Linked DNA regions of Cricetulus griseus. The protein of the gene in region 3 purifies or fractionates together with the protein of the main gene of each other region. This does not show direct contact. Links are inferred from orthologs where the notes say so. Each region holds a gene or a part of one and is shown on either strand. Other genes may lie near its edges. The genes, in order: Ppp2cb, Sike1 and Strip2.

The links.
Region 1: the proteins of Strip2 (region 3) and Ppp2cb purify together in Homo sapiens (affinity purification with mass spectrometry; 3 studies listed by BioGRID and IntAct, counting the BioPlex papers as one, with this or other methods). This does not show direct contact. The link is inferred for Cricetulus griseus from reciprocal best matches to the Homo sapiens genes STRIP2 and PPP2CB.
Region 2: the proteins of Strip2 (region 3) and Sike1 purify together in Homo sapiens (affinity purification with mass spectrometry; 3 studies listed by BioGRID and IntAct, with this or other methods). This does not show direct contact. The link is inferred for Cricetulus griseus from reciprocal best matches to the Homo sapiens genes STRIP2 and SIKE1.

Annotation. Positions count from the first base shown.
Region 1 is NW_023276807.1:51,171,591-51,174,774, forward strand, and holds the end of Ppp2cb (serine/threonine-protein phosphatase 2A catalytic subunit beta isoform), read right to left. Parts: intron 3,004-3,184; coding exon 2,885-3,003; intron 1,210-2,884; coding exon 1,137-1,209; 3' UTR 626-1,136; downstream 1-625.
Region 2 is NW_023276806.1:53,975,682-53,980,092, forward strand, and holds the start of Sike1 (suppressor of IKBKE 1), read right to left. Parts: upstream 2,930-4,411; 5' UTR 2,629-2,929; coding exon 2,470-2,628; intron 2,282-2,469; coding exon 2,176-2,281; intron 1,189-2,175; coding exon 1,046-1,188; intron 1-1,045.
Region 3 is NW_023276806.1:197,901,923-197,906,215, forward strand, and holds the start of Strip2 (striatin-interacting protein 2), read right to left. Parts: upstream 2,872-4,293; 5' UTR 2,805-2,871; coding exon 2,664-2,804; intron 1-2,663. UniProt on the Homo sapiens protein: Plays a role in the regulation of cell morphology and cytoskeletal organization. Required in the control of cell shape. Calmodulin-binding scaffolding protein which is the center of the striatin-interacting phosphatase and kinase (STRIPAK) complexes.

The DNA.
Region 1 (3,184 bases), on a different chromosome or scaffold from region 3:
ATAGACAAACGCTGTCTCAACCCTCCCCACTCCTACCCAAAAGAATAAGTTAATACAGACCACCCAATGAAATGTTTAGGAATGTGAAAATGGATTTTTTAATGGCCTAAAGTTATCAGCAAATACTTGACTTTGTTCTGCTTCTAAATGTAAACTATAAACAAGCATTACTTGTGTGTGTGTGCACTTGCATGTGTGCATGTAACTTGGAAATGAATATAAATGAGCACCTTACCAGAGTTAATCCCCAGCCCCTAAGCTTACCATGTAAATCCTGTCAGTACAGCTGCTTATTTTTATTACACATCAGATAATTGTGGTTCAGCAAGGTGTCCTACACCTGTAATCCTAGCACTTGGGAGGTAGAGCCAGGGGAACCCAGGAGTTTAAGGTCATTTGGGACTATACATGACCATCTTAAAATCCAAAGTAAATGGAAAACAAATAACCACAGTCTTAAGTATTTGTATCAAGTTTTAAAATGGTGATGCTTCCACTTAATGCATATCACAGCTAAAATATTTTTGTTTAAATTGGAAAGTTTATTTGTTCAGTACACCAAATAGGATGCAAGCACTGTCATGACAAATATACAGAAATAATGCAGATCAACATCAAACAGTAATTTAGTTTAAATGAAAGGAAATCTCTTTAATGTTATGACAACATACTCCCAAGAATCTCTTCTTCAGTTAGTTACACATTTCAATAAAATACAGGGTAATGAATTAAGTGGAAGTCAGGTTGTGAAATCTTAAAAATAAAACTCCGACTCTATTAATCCATGCCAGTTAAACACTGTAACTAAATTTCCAAGTGCAAAGGAGATGAAGCAGTCAGTGACCCCTTTTTGCTTAACCAGCCAAGAAGAATGGTTCCTACAACACAGCAGGCAGACTGATCTAGAACACAGTGTAGTAAGTTCAGTCTCAAATTGTGCTAAACGCTCATCATTAGTATGGCACGTTTGGTCCATGATGTAGTTTAATGTCAAGACATATCACAATTTGTTACAGAAACACACAGATGACTTGTTTTTAAATATATATATATATATAACACACACATATATATATATATATATATTAAAAAGCCAGGTATACTTCCACATACAAAGAAAGGTCCTGGGGAAGAATTTACAGGAAGTAGTCTGGGGTACGCCGGGTCACATGAGGCTCTCCACGACGAGGTGCTGGGTCAAACTGAAGACTATAAATGACAAAGAAATTGAATCAGCAGCTAAGCCACTAAGACACTCACTAGACAAAGCCATCCTTTCTGTATTCTTCTGCTACTACATTCCATGTGGCTGGAATAACTCTGAGCATGTCACTACCTGTGATAAATTATATTACTTCACAGAGTTATGGTGAAAAGTTAGGTAACATGGTTGTTAGTGCCTGGCAGAAAATACTTGTGACACTATTATCAATTTAAGGGCCTTTGGGTCAGTGCTGTCTCTCACCACCACCTGGCTAAATCAGGGTGAGTATTTGTCTACAGGCACAGCAAGTTTCCTTCTGTGTAGCTTACTGATTTTATTTAAAGCACACTGAATTTTATCAAGTGCCTTTTTTGTCTGTTATCTGTTTCTTTTTTTTTTTTGGGGGGGGGTTCATTTTGTGGGGTATGCTAGGTAAGCAGGGGCCAGTGGAGCCACATCCCCCAGTAGTACATGTTTTATTACTTTAAGCTTCTTCTAAAATTTTGTGCTATGATTGCCAGTGATCAAAGATGTCAGAAGAGCCAGGCGGTGGTGGCGCACCCCTTTAATCCCAGCACTTGGGAGGCAGAGGCAGGCGGATCTCTGTGAGTTCGAGACCAGCCTGGTCTACAAGAGCTAATTCCAGGGCAGCCTCCAAAGCCACAGAGAAACCCTGTCTCGAAAAACCAATAACTAACTAAATAACTAACTAACTAACTAAATAGATGTCAGAAGATGGAACCCTTGGAATTACAGATGGTTGTGAACAGCCATGTAGGTGCTGGGAATTTAACTTGCATCACTCCTGTACCCTAAGTAGTCTCTTTTTTTCTTCCCCCCAAAAAGATTTATTTATTATGTATACTGTGTTCTGTCTGCATACCAGAAGAGGGCACCAGATCTCATTACAGATGGCTGTGAGCCACCATGTGGTTGCTGGGAATTGAACTCAGCTAGTGTTCTTAACCACTGAACAATCTCTCCAGCTCCACTATAGTTGTTTTTGTTAGAATAATGTGTGAGTAAGGGATGCAAGCCTCTAGTAGTTATAATGGACAGGTTTCTCTGTCTTGTTAGTTTGTTTTTCTGAGACAAGGTATCTGTATGTACTCCCTGGCTGTCCTGGAACTCACTGCTTAGACCAGACTGGTCTCAACCTCTGCCTCCTGAGTGCTGGGATTAAGTATGTGTACTACTGCACCTGGCTTATGGTTCTCTTAAGGTTAAATGTTTTTCCATTACCTATAAGCTCTTGGGAAAATTTCAATGAACTGTAAATAATTAAAACCCTTTTCTGGGCTGTATAGCTCAGTGGCATAGCAATGAACTGGCATGTATGAATGAGGCCATGGTTGCATGCCCAGCATATCAAAAGAAAACAATTTTTACGATGAACAGAACTCTTTCACGGTTTTCATTCCAAGAAGATTAATTTTATTCATGCGTGCACGTGTGTATATGACTCTGTGCACACATGTACATGTATCTTTAGAGGCCAGAAGAGGGTGTTGGATCCCTTGGAGCTGGAGTTACAGGTCTTTGTGGGATCTGAACTTCAGTTCTCATGACTGTAGTAAGGGCTCAGAGCTGCTGAGCCATCTTTCCAGCCCCTAACTGTTTTTTACCAGTTACCTTTTCCCTCTAAAGTGATTACATAAATTAAAATGTACAGTTACTTACAAAGAATATTTTAAAGTGTCATCTAATTCCATGATAGCAGCCTGGTTCCCACAGCGGTAGCAGTAATTGGGTGCACTAAAAATGGTAACCACATTCCGATCATGGCACCAATTATATCCCTGCAACAGTAAGAAAAGGTCATTGTTTCATCATTAAATTCAATCTTGACACAGAACTCAAATCCTAAGTACTTCTGTGGCTACGGAATCATGTTATCTCCTGTGATCAACAGTTTCTGTACCTGCTCAGAATACTGGACAATTATTAGGTACAAGAGTCTATAGATCTCAGTAACCACTG
Region 2 (4,411 bases), about 140 Mb from region 3:
GAAAAGCATATGCATTATGAATTTTAAGTCTATTAAAAGCCTTGCAGAAATAAACTGGGAGGGGTTCATTTAGTACATACTATAGAAGTTACACTTCAATTACACTATCTTTTGAGCCACAATAATTTAAATCTGTGGTACGTCAAATAATTTCCATTTTTCTAAAGACCATTTGACACCCAGGTGCCAGGTGTGGTGGCACATACCCATAATCCTCGTCCTTGGGAGGCTGAGGAGAAAGGATTAGGAGTTAAGGATTAGTCCAAGCCAGCCTGGACTAAATGGGACCTAGCGTCCCCATCCCCAAGTAACAAAACAGACAATAACTCAAATATTTAGATATTTAAAGACATCCCAGTTCCCTAAAACTTGTAAGTCAGTAAAATCCACCTAATGGAATGGGAGATGAAATGTAAATTGTATCTTTCACTGTAGTAAATAGTAGCTTCCAATTTAAGAACTAAAAATTAAAATACACAATACATGCAAATATATAATAAGTAAGCACTGTAGAAACTAAAAACTAGTTAGTTTTTTCCAAATTAAATAGTAAGCAACTAAAACTAAAATAGAGGAACTGCCACAAAATGAACAAGACTCCCCGGTAACATAATGTGAATAATTTAATGAAATTAGTGACTACTTGCTATGTGGAAGATATGGATAAAACTGAACTAATGCCCTCAACACTACAAAACTCATGGTTTAGTAGAACATACAAGTAATCAGCAAAGTATTCACGGAATGCCTTCAACGCTAGCTGCCATCTTGCTTGCTATCTAGCTTGCTATGTAGTCCAGGTTGGCCTACAACTCTAAACTGTCCTATCTCAGGTTGAAAAATAGATGTTGGTGAGAGAGGTGACACCATCCAAAAGGATGTGAGAAGCCCCCGTCCCCTTCCTTTATTCATATCTTCACAAAGCTTCAGTCAGATAGAGTGACTATGAAAACCATGAAAGAGGAACATGCTTTTCTGCAAACAAAACAACAACTCAGGATTTCAGTTTGGTTTATTTATAATTTATGTATCAGGGTTTCCTTACTGCAGAGTGGGACTGGTGAGCTTTCAGAACTGGTTCGGTATCCACTGCTTTTTTAGCAATCATTAACTGTAACATCTGTTTCCGGTACTTGCTCATGATGAGTTCCAAAGCATCCTGGTGTTCCTCCAAGGAAACCCACAGCTCTAACAAAAAAGCAAACATCTGGGCAATGATGTCTGTAACAGGTCTCAAGGCAAACCTCCTAACAGCTGGGGCTTTCTGATACTCCATGGGATATTGTGAATCCAAACTTGGAAATTGGTATTCCAGCCCACAGAAGTGAGTAAAGTCTATCTGAAAAACAATTTTCTAGGCAGTGGACTTTTGTAGAAGGAAATGGGATATGTAATCATAAGACACAGATTTGAATTCAGTTTTCTCATTTACTTGCTTAATTAAGACTCAGAAGCAAAATGAGCCCATTTAAAAAAAATATTATCACATTTTGTTGATTTGTGTGCAAATACCACAGTGTACATGTGTGGTCAGGAGTCATTTCTCTCCTTCCAATGGAATTCTGGTCCTTAGGCTTGGCTCTTCAGGCTGGTGCCATTACCTGCTAGGCCATCTTGCTGGCTCATGTGAACCTGTTTCTTAATTGCATTGTGTAAACACTTGGGTTGTGGACTTCAAAATGACAACAGGGGATGGAACGGAAGGTGTAAAAAGGTCTCTGCAAGACAACTGCCATACTGTTGTCATTACCAACCCGAAGAATGTATATTCTGGAGACAAAGTTCAGCCTTCCATCTTGCCCAGGAACATTAAAAAAAAAATAGATAAATAAAAAAAAAAAACCTACTTCGATATTAACTTTAGTGTTCACTCTAACATATATCAGAAATTACATTTTGAGACTCTGAATTTTAGTTATATAAGCCTCCATCTGGTATGTGCCCACCCCAACCACCAAACAACTCAACTCTACTAAACAACTCTTTCAAACTCATCTTTCAAAGACTTAAAAAAGAGCAACCTAATAGACTTTATTGTTACCAGATGACCCTCTTAAGCACTGACCTTAAGCACTGACCCTAGTTATGAGATGTGTAAGCTTATGAACTTATTCAGGCACTTGTGTAAGAACGTTCAAAGTATTACTAGACATACACACACACAGCCCGACTAACCTCTGTTTTCCTGCTGCAAGTCTCTAATCTGGGTATTCTCTTGAGACAGCAGAATGTGAGGTTTATATTTAGACATGTCCTTCACGTCGGGTGCATCCTCTTGATACTGGACAGAGAGACTGATTAAGCCGCTGCAAACACAGCAGGTGCTGCAGAGGCGGCAGCAGTCCCACCCATTCCACAGGAAGCTCTCAAGCCCTCCCTGTCCTCCGCACCAGGATAATTAGACGGTGACCCCACCTGCCCTCTCCCCGCAGCGCCCACCGCCCAGGGCGCGGCCCGACCCGGCCCGACCTGCTCGGGCAGCACGGCGCCCGCCTCCCGCATCGCCGCCACCCGCCGGTGCAGCGCGGCCGACTGGTCCACCAACGACTCGGCCGCCGCATCGTGCTCGCGCAGCCGCTCCAGCAGCGTCTTGGCGTCGGTCAGGATCTTCTCGATCGTGCAGCTCATAGTGGCCGAGGACGCCCGCCCGGCCCGCTAGCCTCAGCGATTCGCTCAGCCCTTCCCCAGTTTGAGATCAGCGCGATCGCGTCACTTCCGGGCACACTTTAAAGGCGCCTGGGCAGCCTGGTCGGCGTCTGCGCAGTGGCGGATTCGCGGTAACTCAGGCTTCGCCGCAGATTTTCTTGGGTGGAGCCGCAGAGGTCGACTTGGTCCCAAATTCTGGTTCTTCACGATGTTACAGCTGTTCCTGTCTCAGTTCTCCTTTTCTTCTGGTTTTGATGGATGTGGTTTGTTATTTAGTCATGGGTTTTCAACAAATCGATGAAACAAACACCTCCCCCCCCCCCCACACAAGTGAACACACACTGGAACCTCTCACTTTCTCCCTCCTCTCTTCCTTCCTCTTTGTCCTTCCTCTTCCTTCCCACCCCTTCTTCCCTTCTTACTCCCCTCCCCTCTCTCCTGTCTTCCTCCCTCCCTCCCTTCCCATTCCTTTAAAAGGTGAACAGTGACTGAGGTTGTCCTCTGACCTCCACATACTCAACTGCACCTGTGTATACAAATAGCGTGCGCGCGCGCGCGCGCGCGCGCACACACACACACACACACACACACACACACACACACACACACATTAGTATTTCAGGTCTCAAATCGAAGCTATGTTTTGGGATGCTGTCAATGCTTTAAGATTAGATTATGAGGACTGGGACTGTATGCAAAACTACTGAAGGCTACACTTACCAGTGTGGCAGTGGACTTAGGGATGTGGCACCCAAGAAATATAATGACACACAAGTGAGATGGCAGTTCCCTTATCTAATAGAACACACCCAAGAACTGTGACTCGCTAATGGATAGAAAAGAAAAACAGTATGGATTCCAGATCGCCTTTTACCGGTTTATTGTCTTGGGATGCCATAGAGAGTAGAGGGCAGGGGACTTGTGGGAGTAAGTGGGGAAAACAGCCAGTGATACACTAAATTTTAGTTCAGTATGCAATATAAACAGGCAGGTGGTAGTGGTGCACATGTTTAATCCCAGCATTCGGGATGCAGAGGCAGGCATATTTCTGTGAGTTCGAGGCCAGCCTGGTCTATAGAGCAAGTTCCAGGAACTTGCTGGGATTAAGGGCGTGCACCACCATCGCCCGGCTACAAATTCAATTTTTAATAAATTGGAAAAATGAATTAGGTAAGTTTATTTGCTTCACTTCTCCCTCCCTCCCTCCCTCCCCCTCCCTCCCTCCCTCCCTCCCTCCCTTCCTCCCTCCCTCTCTCTCTCCCTCCCTTCTTCCTTCCTTCCTTCCTTCCTTCCTTTTCTTTCTTCTTTTTGTTTTTTGAGACAGGTTTTCTCTGTGTAGCCCTAACTGTCCTGGCACTAGTTCTGTAGACCAGGCCTGCCTCTGCTTTCCTAGTGCTGTGATTAAAGGCATGTGCCACCACTACCCCGATACTTTTTTCTTTATAAAACCTTTTGGGGCCTGCAAGAAGGCTCAGTGGGTGAAGGTGCTTGCCTGAATTCTATCCCCAGGATGCACTCATAAGTTGACCTCTGTGCCTAAACCCCTATAAATAAATAAATGTTAAGATTAATTAATAAATAATAAGTGAGATTGCTCAGCAGTTAGAGGTTCTTGCACACAGCCCGACAACCTGAGTTTTGACTCCTGGATTCTACAAGTTGGTAGAAGAGAACCATGCCCACTGGTTTTCCTCTGACCTCCACCAGACACTTGAACTAACTCTATCCCTCCTTCTCTCTCTCTTTCTTTAAATAAATAAATAAA
Region 3 (4,293 bases):
CAATCTAGGAACCTCACTTGTGGCTGGCATCTGAAGCGGGGGCAATATTGTATATGCACTAATCCTGGGTAATTAGTGTCAGAATTGAATTCACATGTAGGACATTTAGTTGGCATCAGTAATTATTGTTGGAAAATGCTCAGTTTTCTCATCCGTAAGATGAAGACAATAATAAGACTTTCTTCAGAGGGTTATCGTAAGGCCTAATGAGTTAAGTATGAAAAGGGCCCTTAGCATATAGCACTCTTGATTTGTGCCAATTGTAATTCTCTTCCAGCAATTTTTTTCAGAAGCCCTAGAAAACTGTCTTCTCTAAGGACTGCCCTCTACTGGAAAGCCAAGGGAGGGAAAAGCAGGTCTGAGCACTGCAAAGATAGGGGACATACAGACAAGCATGTCCTTCTCATTGGAAGGTGGGGTGGGGTGGGGGAGCTAATTTTCCCAGCAAGGCTTTTTGGGGGCAATGAGCCCAGACAGAGACGATTACCACAGCTGTTCATTTCTAAGTGTGACGAATGCAGCTGCAGAAATTCAGCAGGTAAACAGCAGTGCCTGGAAAACTCTGGGTATCCACATTGAACTCGCTGGCAAAAGCGAAGTACTATGACAGCCTTTTCCTGAAGGACGCTGTGACAGCTGAGGATCATTACCTACTTCAGAAGGTTCAACATAGCCCTCTGCAGCCACTTATTTGCATATTGTCTGTCTCCCCACCCTTCCTAGAATGCTAGCTGTAGAAGTGCAAAGACTCTGCCCTATTCACTGACATTAGCACCTAATAATTTCATTGTTATGCCTAGAAAATATTCCATCAAGAACAATGCCTCACTTCCTCTGCTTTGTGCAGCCAAGATGGGAACAGCTCTCCTCCACCATGCCCTCCCCACCTCTGAAACCATGAGCCAAAATAAACCTTTTCTTCCACTGAAGCAAGCAAGCAAACAAACAAACAAAGTCTCTCTTCCGGAAGGAGGTACAAGGTATTCCTAAAAGAAAACTTGTAGCAAGGAAACCTTGACTGTGCAGGTTTGTGACTTTGGGGGCAATTTTCCCCCTTATTTTTTACCTTTTATAAAATAGGAGCTGGGGGAGGGCGAAAGGTCATCGGTAGTAAACTTGCTTGGTTTTGTGAGCCCTTGGGCTCCATCTCTGAACAACAAATAATCAAACAGACAAGTAAATGATTTTGGAAACTATGATGTATTATTCAAACAAACCACCAGGAACTTAATTTGGAGGAACCCCCCCCCAACCCCCCGCCGCCACTTAATGAGAATGATAAGTTATAAGTCCTGACCAATTAATTACATGAACTGGGCTAAACACTTTAAGGTCAATTATTTATAGTGTCAATCCCATTTTACAGGAGAAGAAACTGGAGCTCAGATAGGTTAGGTAATTTGCCCAAAGCCACACAGATGATAAATGGTAGTGCAAAAAAAAAAAAAGGGCCTGATACTGAACTTGGTGGTCTTGGCCACTTACTCTGCCACGTGTCTGATCTCAAGAACGTTGGTTTTTATCTCTTTTTACCCTCTAGATGACACCCCCGCCCCCCATCTGTTTAGGATGCTGGGGATCAAATTTAGCACTTTGAGCATGCAAGGCAAGCACACCGTCACTGAGCTGCATCCCCCAGCCCTGTGTGCTTTGCGTAGTAAAATGAAAGGGTTAGGCTCACTTTGGTGGCACACACTGTCATCCCAGCACTTGGGAAATGGAAGCAGGGCGATCAGAAAAAGAGTTCAAGGCTCTCCTCAGCTACACAGTGAGTTCAAGCCCAGTGGGGCAAATGAAACCCTGTTGTCAGTGGCTTTTGCCCTGAGCTGTCTCAAATAACTAAGATGAAATCAAATAAAATAAGGACTAAACCAGATGACCTCCACAGCCCCTTCCACATACATTTTGTCCCCCGAGTTCCCAGTTCCTGCTCAGATGCAGTTTTGCTCTTGGCTAATAGATGGAAACTGGCTGGATAAGGGTGTGTGTGTGTATGCGTGTGTGTGTGTGTGTGTGTGTGTGTGTGTGTGTGTGTGTGTGTGTGTGTGTGTGTGTGTTGGGGGTGATAATAATTCAGTCCTTTCATTGTCCTAGTTAGATTTTTTATTTTAATTTAGAGGAGGAAAATACCCAAATAGTCAACCCCCTTAGCTGCCCCTGGGGCAGCTGCACCCAAATGCCGCTCGCACGCTCTGGTCCTATCCCAGCTAGAATCACGTCTCTTTTACCTCCTCCCCCAACACCCCCGGCAGGGGCGAGGTGTGGGTGGAAGGCGCTCCCTAAGCCATCTCCATCGCCCCGGGGGCAGCGGATGGCAAGGGAAAGCATGTGCTTCAGGCCGGTCTGGTGCACTCCGGAGCCAGTGGCTGCAGTCTGGAGTGGGAGGTGAGGTGCGCTGCTCGCCTGCCCACCCTCCCCTCCCGCCGCCAAGCTGGGGCTGCCACCCCTGCGGCCAGTCCCAGCAGCTCTGCGCGCTGGTTCCCCATGGGCAAACGGGTCCGAATTCGGGCTTCACCCGGCGACAGCTATCAAGTATCCGGAAAGTATCTGTTACGGTCTCCGCGCGCGCGCGGCTTAGGGAAACGGCAGGCAGCAAGGCGACCCGCCGCGGAGAGGGACGGGGCTGCGGGCCGCGTCACCTCAGCCGCCTCCGGGTTCCTCACCTCCGACTCCCGCCGCTGGCTGCGGAATGCTTCCCGGCCCTTGGGCGCACCCGGCTTCCCTTTGCCGTTGCCGTTGCCGTTGCCGTTGCCGTTGCCGTTAGCGGGCGGGCCGGCGGGCCCGGGCGCCGCGGGGTCGTCCATGCCGGGCTGGCTGCTCCCTTCCGCGGCTCGCTCCAGCGGCTCCCTACCGCGGCTTGGCGATCTCTGCCCGGGGCGACCCCGCCACAGCGCGCGCCCGGAGCCAGGCCCCGCCCCTCGGCCTCTATTGGCCGTGGCTACTCTGCGGCCACGCCCTCCTGTGCTGCGATTGGCTGATCGGCCAGTCGGAGGTGGGGACTCTTTCAAGGAATAGTCCCCGTCGCACCCCCGGCTTTCTCCCCACTGCACCGCGGCTGGCAGCCCGGGCCCGGTGGGCGGGTGGGTGGCTTCTCGCTCCACCTCTCGAGCCCTGCTGGTCCCCGAGCTCCGCGCTGCAGTCTCCTCTCAGGCTGTCCTGTCCCTGCGAGCCCTGGTCTCCGCCCCGGCGGTTCCACTGCGGTCTCCGTGTCCGCGCTACCCCCGACCCGGGCCCCGAATCCCAGCCGCCGCACGCCTCTCCCGTCCCGCTTGGTCCCCGCAGAGAAGGGACAGCCCGAGCCACCACGCCACAACCTTAGCCTCCGTCTCTCTCGGCGGGGAGAACGGGAGAACGGGGAGGGGCGTCGTCGCTGGAATCCCTGACTCCCGGTCGTCTGTCCCCGCTGGGCGGGCACCTTTTGTCGTGGTGCGGAGAGACAGCAAACCCCCTGCCTCACCCGCTGCTCTTTCCTTCTCCTCTCTAAAGCGATCCCCTGGCGGGCGACAGGGCTCGGTGCCGAAAGACACTTGCTTCTCATCTAAGCCCCCTAAGGTCTTGAGTTCGATCCCCGGGTCCCCACGTGGTGGAAAGGAGAAAAGGGACTGTTGAAAACTGTTCTCTGACCTCCACGAGTACTCCGCGGTCTCCTCCAGCATTCCCACACATACAAACAATAAATATTGAAATTAAGAAGGGGGAAAAAAAATACCCAGACAACTACGAGCTCAAGGTAATCAGGCAGTTGAAGGCTGTGGGTTCTGCCCTCTCCTGAAATAGACTGACAGATCCGGCTTGATTACGACTGAGGGGAAGGGGAGGGACCAAATCGCTCTCCTGACCTATTTGGGCGGTGAAGACTTCATTGAGTAGGGGGCTGTGGCAAGCACCGCACTAGGTGTTTTTCAAGTACCACACCTCTTCCTGACAGGTTATTTACACGAATCCGGTTTTTTGTTTTGTTTTGTTTTGTTGGTTTTTCGAGACAGGGTTTCTCTGTATTGCTTTGGAGGCTGTCCTGGTACTTGCTCTGGAGACCAGGCTGGCCTCGAACTCACAGAGATCCACCTGCCTCTGCCTCCCGAGTGCTGGGATTAAAGGAGTGCGCCACCAACGCCCGGTTACGAATCCGGTTTTTACTAATAAAGCGCCATGGGATTCCCTATGCTGCTGCTCTATGGGAGAAACCCGTTTTCTTGACTTACTACAGTCTTGGCGTCTCAACTGCAGTGATAAAACGCCAGGACCAAAAGCAACTTGGGTAGGAGAGGATTTATTCCATCTGACAGCTTAGAG